2 linked regions of the Arabidopsis thaliana genome follow. The protein of the gene in region 2 interacts with the protein of the main gene of each other region in a pairwise test. Each region holds a gene or a part of one and is shown on either strand. Other genes may lie near its edges.

What was found. Proteins that work in one complex are often made in the same cells at the same time.
Region 1: the proteins of AT1G32410 (region 2) and AT1G36980 interact in a two-hybrid assay, tested with the Arabidopsis thaliana proteins (one large-scale study listed by BioGRID).

What each region holds. Positions count from the first base shown.
Region 1 is NC_003070.9:14,022,222-14,027,588, reverse strand, and holds AT1G36980 (transmembrane 50A-like protein), read right to left. Parts: upstream 2,956-5,367; 5' UTR 2,833-2,955; intron 2,651-2,832; 5' UTR 2,506-2,650; coding exon 2,373-2,505; intron 2,286-2,372; coding exon 2,198-2,285; intron 1,464-2,197; coding exon 1,311-1,463; intron 896-1,310; coding exon 862-895; 3' UTR 638-861; downstream 1-637.
Region 2 is NC_003070.9:11,691,465-11,696,225, forward strand, and holds AT1G32410 (Vacuolar protein sorting 55 (VPS55) family protein), read left to right. Parts: upstream 1-2,334; 5' UTR 2,335-2,461; intron 2,462-2,903; 5' UTR 2,904-2,933; coding exon 2,934-3,032; intron 3,033-3,141; coding exon 3,142-3,181; intron 3,182-3,392; coding exon 3,393-3,477; intron 3,478-3,634; coding exon 3,635-3,833; 3' UTR 3,834-4,111; downstream 4,112-4,761. Other genes in the region: AT1G32415 (pentatricopeptide (PPR) repeat-containing protein), read left to right, coding at 4,147-4,761. UniProt on the Arabidopsis thaliana protein: Involved in endosomal protein transport.

The DNA of each region.
Region 1 (5,367 bases), 2.3 Mb from region 2:
CTGAACCCAACTTTACAAAACTGAAGAAAGTACTGGTTTTTGGAAAGATAGTTTCTAATTTCTTTTTTAATATATTTTTCTTCTTTTGGTCTTTTTGTTCCTGAGAAAAGCTTAGCTACTACTTTGGCAATGGGAGAGGAGAAAGGCAGGGAGGGGTTTTTGTTTGTTTGTTTTGATGATTTGCAAATAGTGCAAATAAAGCTGATGAGGCTTTGAGTTGCCATATGAGTGTCCTGCCCTCTTCAGACTTTGTAGATCTTTCTTTGGTCTGAAAAAAAAATGGCTCAGCTCTCACACACGTGTTCCTCTTTTTGTCTTTTTCTCTTGTCTCTAATGTTTGATGAGCAAGAGTTCGCTCTTAGGAGAATATATAATTGCGAAAGAGTTTCTTCATCAACACAAAACATTGGATAAACCCAATAGAGGTGCCAAACAGGCCAATCCGCAATAGGCATTTATATTTGTAAGACTGCGACAGGCTGGTCTGCTAAGACTGCCGGCAGAAATAATGTGTCCAAGTCTACCCACTAAGCCCAACGTGTTAGCATGCCGGCCTGCGAACTTATCTCATTGAGCATGTACCTCGTCTTGCTGATCACATGATTTTGAGTTTTCTTTTCTAGGTAATTTAAAAGGTTTGCCTATTTGCGTTCTCTTTGGACAACTGATTGATTTGGAGTATTTTCAATAACATTCACACAAAGTTTTAACAGAAACACACACTGATGCAACAGAGGAATCTCGCACACAATGCCAAGGTGACAAGACAAGACACAGGAATTTACATAGTAGAGAAACGAGAGGAACTTGTAAGTTGTCACAGTATGAATCTGAGTCGGAGATGAAGTATGTGCCTGTGCGCTACTCTGAGTGCGATGTCCAATACATTAGCCCACTGTCAAAAAAATTGTGGTCAGTGACCAGACACCAGAGATATATACAAATAGATTAGTATAAGATGATATGCAGTATACGAAAACAAAAAGGTTAGGATGCTTCACTGATTGCAATTCAAATCACATTTGCTAGGTTTGGAAGTTACTGTTACCAGTACAAAATCTATTGTGATTATGAAAGATGATTCTAACGAAAAGTTTTAGTCCAGATGCGAAAAGAAGACAGCCACATTAGTTAAGAATGGAAGTGTTAGAATCCAAAGGACTATGACTAAAATTGTAAGAATCACTAAATCTATTTGTACAAGTTTGGGTAATTTTGTAGGAGTATTTGTGTTCAATTTCCCAATCTAAAAAGCAGTGTTTAGTGTTTCAAGAAATGCACAACCAGAAGAGTGCATAGAATAGCTTTACCTTATCAATACAAATACACATTGAAAGACACCAGCCACACCAGTCCAAGTTGAAGGCCCAGTCTTCACAACCGAATCTTGAATCAGCAAGCCAACAGAAGCAGCTAAGGAAACAAATGCTACGACATACGCTATGAAAAGCCACAGCTTCAATCTGTAGCCAAGAATCCAAATACATAAAAACACAAATCAGAAACAGTTGAAACTAACCGCAAATGTCAGCGAAAACTTGATTTCAGATAATGAGGGTTATAAACACACAAGATTTCTCAAGTATCTTCTAGTTTACACAGAAATACAGATTAGAAACACTTAGTAACCAAGCTCTTAAATCTTATCCTTGATTAAATAACTGTATCAGCAAGCCAACATAAACAGCTAGGGAAACAAACGCTACGACATACGCTATGAAAAAGCCATAGCTTCAATCTGTAGCCAAGAATCCAAATACATAAATACACAAATCAGAAACAGTTTAAACTAACCGCAAATCTCAGCGAAAACTTGATTTCACATAAATGAAACACACAAGATCTCTCAAGTATCTTCTAGTTTACACAAAAAATACAGATTAGAAACACGAAGTAACCAAGCTCTTAACTCTTATCTTGATCAAAAACAGAATCAGAAGCAGAGCGAATGAAACAAATTCAACGACATACGCTATAAATAAGCTTCAATCCAAATCCATAAAACACAAATCATGAATACTTCAACACTTATAGAAGCAATGATCACTCAAATACTTCAAACTAAATGGATCAGTCACAAAAATCAGCTAAAATTTGTACACTTATCTCAACTACCTTCTACTTTCCACAGAATTACAGATTTAAACAAGAAGTAACCAAGCTCTTATGTTGACTCAGATCAATTTGAAAAACTAACCTCCACTCGCCTTCGTCGTAAGGAGAGTAATCAATGTCTTCTTTTCTGACGCAATTGAACATCAAAGCTCCGAGAGAAGCGAATATGCCTGCGAAATCCCCAAATCCAACGGACCAAAATCGCTCAAAATTCGGAAACCCTAATTGATAAATTATCGAGAGTTAGATATATTTACCGGGAAGGTAATGGACGAAGGGAACTTGGATGGAACTGCAAACGACGGCGTCGACCCAAAACCACCACCCGGTTCCGAAAACGGCGCCGGAGAATCCGGGTCCGAAAATCGCCCACAGTTCTGCCAAATCCATCGCTCGATATGATTCGTCTCCAATTGGATAGATAGATAAATAAAAACTTTATTGTTGATATTGTTAAATTATTATAGTTTTTATACCGAAAAAATGTCATTAAAATTATTATGCCAAAAGTGTCGAAACAAAGCATCAACTTTACCTGTAATGATAAAATCATCAAAGTAAATTATTAATTTTTTTCGATTTTGCCAAATAAAAGATATTAGATAATCAACTAACAGATCAATTTAACGTATAAAGTCAACAATAACATTTTCTGTCAAATAGTAAAACAACATCGTTTTTGTATTAAAATAAATAATACAAAAAACATATAGCTACCAGAATCGGACCCTGCATCTGTGGCTATGTAACTTTATTTGCGTGATTTGAAAAAACACTTTGCAAACGATGTTGTTTTACTATTTGTTCTGGTAGCTAATCTCAGAATCGATTCACCAGAACACATAGCTAATCTATCATATTCTCCATATCACGCAAATAAAGATATATAATATTTTATAATAATATTAAAAGGAGAAAAAATTGATGAAAATTAATCTAGAAATTGCAGGTCTTCTGATAACAAGAAAACTGTAAAACTTATTATCTGAAAGAGTCAATACAATTTGTTCGATACAGAGAGCTCTAAAACACAAATCTAGATCATTACTCTCACAAACCCAGACACATACGTCACAGGCAGTTACAAACAAAATGCATAAATCTTCTAAAGAAAGCTAAGTCTCAATATATACACTTCACACGTGTGACTTCTTCTTCAGCGCACGTGCTCCTCAGCACCATCTTCATTCGCACGTGCTTCACGCCTCTTCCTCCTTGTATACACTATTAAGGGCTTATCAATACCCCCTCCCCCCCCCCCCCTTCAACATGCAGCTTGTCCTGAAGCGCTAAACCTGGAAACTGTTTCTTCAAGTCCTTGGCTATCTCCCATGTATCCTCATGAACCGGAAGACCTTGCCAATGTACCAACGCTTCTAAGAGTCCATCCTCATTGTAACGAGTCTCCAGCACAGCTTCAGGCACAACCACAAACTCATTATCTGCAGTCAACACTTCCGGTAATGGAATGACTTGATGGTGGTCACCCAAAACCTGTTTCAACTGAGACACATGAAAAACAAGGTGTATTTTAGAACCCTCTGGAAGTTTCAGCCTATAAGCAACTTTCCCAATGCGTTCCATGATCTCAAACGGACCAAAATACTTCGCTGCCAACTTCTGACACACTCTCTTTGTCACAGAATTTTGACGATATGGTCTTAGCTTCAAGAACACCCTATTCCGTGTATCAAACTCAACTTCTCTTCTATGTTTATCATCGTTATTTTTCATTAACTGCTGTGCATTCACCAAATGCTCTTTAATATCGGCCAACATCAAATCCCTCTGCTTGAGTAACCCTTCTAACTCACAATTCTTAGTAGAATTAGCTTCAAAACGCATAATTGGTGGAGGATCTCTGCCATACAAGACCTTAAAAGGTGTTGTTTTGATAGTTGTATGAAAAGAAGAGTTATACCACAATTCAGCCCTAGGTAAGTATTGGAACCAAGTCTTAGGATGAGCTGAAGCAAAGCATCGCAAATAAGTCTCCAATGTGCGATTCAACACCTCTGTCTGGCCATCTGTTTGCGGATGGAAAGCAGTGCTGTATTTCAACTTAGTGCCTGATAGTTTGAAGCAGTCTTTCCAAAAGGAACTCAAAAACGTGTTATCCCTATCAGAAACTATCGATGCAGGGAACCCGTGCAGCTTCACTACCTCGTGAATAAAAATTCTAGCCACATCAACTGCATTGAAAGGATGTTTGAGACCAATGAAATGACCATATTTGCTTAATCTGTCTACCACCACCAAAATGACATTTTTTTCCGTGAGAACCAGGCAGCCCTTCAACAAAGTCCAAGGAAATGTCTTCCCAAACCTGCGTTGGAATTGGTAAAGGTTGTAACAACCCAGCCGGAGATAAGGTGGAGTATTTCTGTCGTTGACACATTTCACACTTAGCAACAAATTTCTGAATATCCTTCATCATACCTTCCCAATGAAATGATTGTTGAATACGTTTCATTGTCTTCAACACACCCGAATGACCACCCAACAGGCCACTATGATATTCAGCAAGTATGAGTGGTAAGAACTTTGAGTCTTTAGGAATGATCAATCTCTGTTTCTTCCATAATCTGCCTTCTTTCACAGTATAGGCACTAGTCCCTTGTTTAGCTGATAGACATTCTTTAACCAAGTGTTGCAGATGAGCATTAGAATCTATTTCTTCATAGAGATCATGCAACTGGAGAACTGTGGGCACTGTAAACGCCATTAACAACATTGACGAGAATGACCCAGTTGGTTGTACCATTCTAGATAACCCATCAGCCGCCTTGTTATCAACCCCAAGTTTGTATAGAATGTCAAATTCATAGTGCAAAAGCTTAGTGAGCCATTTCTGATAATCCATTGACACCTCTCTTTGTTCCTGCAAAAACTTTAAACTCTTCTGATCCGTGTGTAACACAAATCGGCGACCCATCAGATAGTGTTTCCACTTTTGAATTGATAACACAATCGCCATTAACTCCCTCTCATAAACTGGTTTAAGCTGCTCTTTAGATGTGAGACCATGGCTAAAACAAGCAATTGGTCTATTGTCTTGCATTAAAACTGCCCCCAGACCATTCCTGATGCATCAGCCTCTACAACGAACACTTTACCAAAGTCGGGTAGTGCTAAAACTGGTGCAGTAGACATAGCTCTCTTCAATGCATCAAAAGCTTCTTGGGCTGACTCACTCCACACAAAGCTGTCTTTCTTTAACAACTCAGTTAAAGGTCTGGCTAGAGTTCCATA
Region 2 (4,761 bases):
CAAGGATGGGAAAATATTTGTTTGGAATTTTGCTGTGTCATACAAATGCCAGCTGGCAATTTAAATTTGAAGATGAAGTGACAAGTCCAATGGGTAGATAGGCCATTTTAGTTTTTCAGGAGCCCAACTACGAATACGTGTGTCGTTGAATAATTTCAGTTTACAGATTCTTTATCCTTTCTGATTTCTGTCGGCAATTAAAATTAGTTTTGTGTGGAATGGAATGTACTACACATGTCTATATGTCCTAAAGACTCCAAGACATTACAAAATACAAAGCTTTAGTTTTATTTTTTTGAAGTTAAATTTACAAGCACTTTTAATATTTACGTATAAAATCTTTTCTGAAAATAATTGAAGATTTGTGTAGTCCGTTCGATTTGTTTACAAAAGGAAGCTATGATAGAGCGAAATTAACACGAAAATGAAAATGCTTTGTTCATCGCCTAAAAGGCAGCTTAAAGGATTTGTCTATCCTACGAAATTGTCACGAGCTTTCACGAACCAAGACTGTTCTGTGGGTTAAACAATATTTTTATCGAGAAAACGTATTTTGTATGTTTATGATCTGCGTTAAATATCTTATCAATTTTTTATTACCTTGTCCGTCAAAATATCCAAAAAATAATTTAGAAATTCGGTTTATAAAAATGTTGTTTTCAAAGTTTAATTGTTAGAATTGATAATCTCATAATGATCATTTCGAAAAACCAAAAAAATTATCACATTGTATGAAGGATTTTGACAAAATTTTATTCGGAAAATCACTCTCAACAACATAAATAAACAAAAAAAGTTTGTTTTATATAAAAAAAATCAGTATAAATAGGTAAATGGGATTACTTTACACACTAAAAAGTACCAATTTGAGTTAATACTAAGATTTTGGGTTGGACATTAATACATCAAAGTCACCGATTCTCATTTGAACAACTTCACTTCTCCGATCAACGATCAATAAACGTAACAATCACTCCGATGTTCCTAAAACACCAAAATGATAAAGCGTTAGCTCTCGAGATGAGAGAACTTAGTTATGAATTGTTTTTGGGTTTTTAGATTTTTACAAAAAATTAGTAGTCAGATTAGTAGTCGGAAAATCACTCTCAACAACATAAATAAACAAAAAAAGTTTGTTTTATATAAAAAAAATCAGTAGTCAGATTACTTTACACGCAGTCAGATTAGTAGTCGGAAAATCACTCTCAACAACATAAATAAACAAAAAAAGTTTGTTTTATATAAAAAAAATCAGTAGTCAGATTACTTTACACGCAGTCAGATTAGTAGTCGGAAAATCACTCTCAACAACATAAATAAACAAAAAAAGTTTGTTTTATATAAAAAAAATCAGTATAAATAGGTAAATGGGATTACTTTACACACTAAAAAGTACCAATTTGAGTTAATACTAAGATTTTGGGTTGGACATTAATACATCAAAGTCACCGATTCTCATTTGAACAACTTCACTTCTCCGATCAACGATCAATAAACGTAACAATCACTCCGATGTTCCTAAAACACCAAAATGATAAAGCGTTAGCTCTCGAGATGAGAGAACTTAGTTATGAATTGTTTTTGGGTTTTTAGATTTTTACAAAAAATTAGTAGTCAGATTAGTAGTCGGAAAATCACTCTCAACAACATAAATAAACAAAAAAAGTTTGTTTTATATAAAAAAAATCAGTAGTCAGATTACTTTACACGCAGTCAGATTAGTAGTCGGAAAATCACTCTCAACAACATAAATAAACAAAAAAAGTTTGTTTTATATAAAAAAAATCAGTATAAATAGGTAAATGGGATTACTTTACACACTAAAAAGTACCAATTTGAGTTAATACTAAGATTTTGGGTTGGACATTAATACATCAAAGTCACCGATTCTCATTTGAACAACTTCACTTCTCCGATCAACGATCAATAAACGTAACAATCACTCCGATGTTCCTAAAACACCAAAATGATAAAGCGTTAGCTCTCGAGATGAGAGAACTTAGTTATGAATTGTTTTTGGGTTTTTAGATTTTTACAAATGATTCTTGATGATGATGGAAATAATCTGCTCATGACTCTTAGTCTCTTATAGCTTCTAACGGCCTTCTCACATCTGCCCGTTATTAGCCTCCATGCGTCATTTCTAAATCTTTTTTATTGGTCACTTGATTCCACACTTGCCAACTCACACCTGCTGTGGTTCTGCAACAGACATGACTGGACCGGACTAAATAAGGTCAAACCGTATCGGGTTTGGTACACACGTGGCCGATCATCATCAAAGGGCTTACCAATATTACGATGGACTCGACCACAGCTGATAGAAGTTCCGATATTACAAAAACAGAAAGACAGAAGGGTTTACCTATGATTAATGTCTGAAAAATTTGATATTTGAAGCGAATCAACAACAACAGTCGGGTTCGTGAAAAAAAAAGATTTGATCGGCTAAACTTGGTCGGTATGATTCTCATCTATCTGGTTGAAATTCTTCAAATTGTTGCTATTGTTGTGTGATTTTCCCCTTTTTCTTTGAACTTTGGATCCGTGTGAAATCAATTCTGGCGATTGGGATTGGTATCACTGTATCAGTAATATCAGATTTTCTTCGAATTTCTTGGAAGTAGTTGAGCTTTGTCGAATTCAAACCTTCTTCAAAAAAGAAAAGAATAGAAGAATGAGAAGTTTTCTCAAATTTTTGGAAAATAATTATTTTTGTCACAGTTAGTTAGCGAATGGAGAAGTAGAAAAATCAGATATTTAGTGATACTTTCTTGGGGATTCTTTTGATGTTTAATTGAAGATTGGCTCACTGATTTTATCTTTGAAGGTCTTAGTAAACGTTAATAGCTTGACGTTATCATTAGAAACTCAAAAAACTTAAGTCTCTCTCTAATTATTAGCTTTCAGGTTTATCGTGGAAGGACTTGTCAATGGCAGACGTACCTGGATACCTGCGCACTTGTTTGGATATGGGGAAGATAGCTTTCTTAGCAATCCTTGTATCTACAGGGATTGTGTTGCAGATTCTGGTATCCCCCAAGAGATTCTTTCAAGTTTTGATCCTGCCTGTTTATGCTTCTCCTGCCAATAGTAGATTCATACTTGTGTTTAAACCCTTTGTTGCTAATTTTGTTCCAGGCTTGTGCTCTGTTCAATAACTGGTGGCCAATGCTAAGTGGTGAGTTGTTTCGCTCGACCTCCAATATCTCTTTGTTGGTTCGATCTTTAGTCTTGCAAACTGCATTTTATATCGATGAAAGTAGTCTGTTTTAAATCTTGTTTGGTTACATAAAAAGTGTCAGGGAACTTGGAAAAACCATTATTATATCAATGGTGATGGATTTTAAACTCTTTCTTGCGGTTAATCAGAATCTGATATTGCTTTGCAGTTATAATGTATGTGCTCCTCCCAATGCCTTTGCTCTTCTTTGGTGGATCAGACAGTACATCTCTATTCAACGAGTCAGATAATAGGTAAGCAATTTATATACAGGCCTCCATTGTTTGTTTAGGTTTGCATTTGCATTTACGTTACATTCCAAGTGAACCCACAACTACAATTATCGACTTTCTAAGTCTAGGTATATCAAAGAAACTCGCTGAGCTTACATGAACATTTTCTTTTATGCAGTTGGATCAATGCAGCCAAGTTCTTGACTGGTGCATCAGCAGTTGGAAGCGTCGCGATACCATCGATTCTAAAACACGCCGGACTCATCGGTTGGGGCGCATTAGCCCTTGATCTCTCATCCTACGTTGTCTTCCTCGTGGCTATTTTGGGTTACATTTGCATAGGAGATGCCAGTGACAACTATTACAGCTACATTTAAAAAGACACACACAAATTCATCATCATTTGTTTAAACCTCAACAAAGTCTCAGCCTTTTATCACTTCCCCGTTCGATTGATGCTTCGAAACGAAAACATCTTGTTTCTATGGAATGACTCACTGATTGGATTTTCACAAGTTTAAGAGTTTGTGTGTCAAGTGTATGTATGAATGATTTTTTTTTTGGGTGGTTTTGTTACGTTTTGATGTATAGAACATATTTATTATTTGGTGGAATATATATAAATTTTCTTTACAAAAGCATATTGAAAAACTGAGTCTTTTAGATAAAGAAGCTGTGAAAAGTGTTTGAATGCGAGCTCTCTGTGTAAAGAAAGTTTGTGGCTTTCTCTCAAAATTATCTCTCAGATCTTCAATATCTTGTCGTCGATACTATGGAGATAAGATACCGAATTACGGAAGCTATCGTCGAGGTTTCTCTAATGAAGAAGCTCTTATACTTCGTCGTTTATCTGAGGGAGGTCTTGTACATGCACGCCACTTGCTCGACAAAATTCCTCAGAGAGGAAGTATCAACCGTGTTGTTTACTGGACTTCGCTTCTTAGTAAGTACGCGAAAACTGGATACTTGGATGAAGCAAGGGTTTTGTTTGAAGTAATGCCTGAGAGGAATATCGTTACTTGTAATGCGATGTTGACGGGTTATGTTAAATGTAGGAGAATGAATGAGGCTTGGACATTGTTTAGGGAAATGCCGAAGAATGTTGTTTCTTGGACTGTGATGCTTACTGCGCTATGTGACGACGGAAGGAGTGAAGATGCAGTTGAGTTGTTCGATGAAATGCCTGAGAGAAATGTGGTTTCGTGGAACACTTTGGTAACGGGTTTGATTAGGAATGGTGATATGGAGAAGGCAAAACAGGTGTTTGATGCTATGCCTAGTAGAGATGTTGTGTCGTGGAACGCT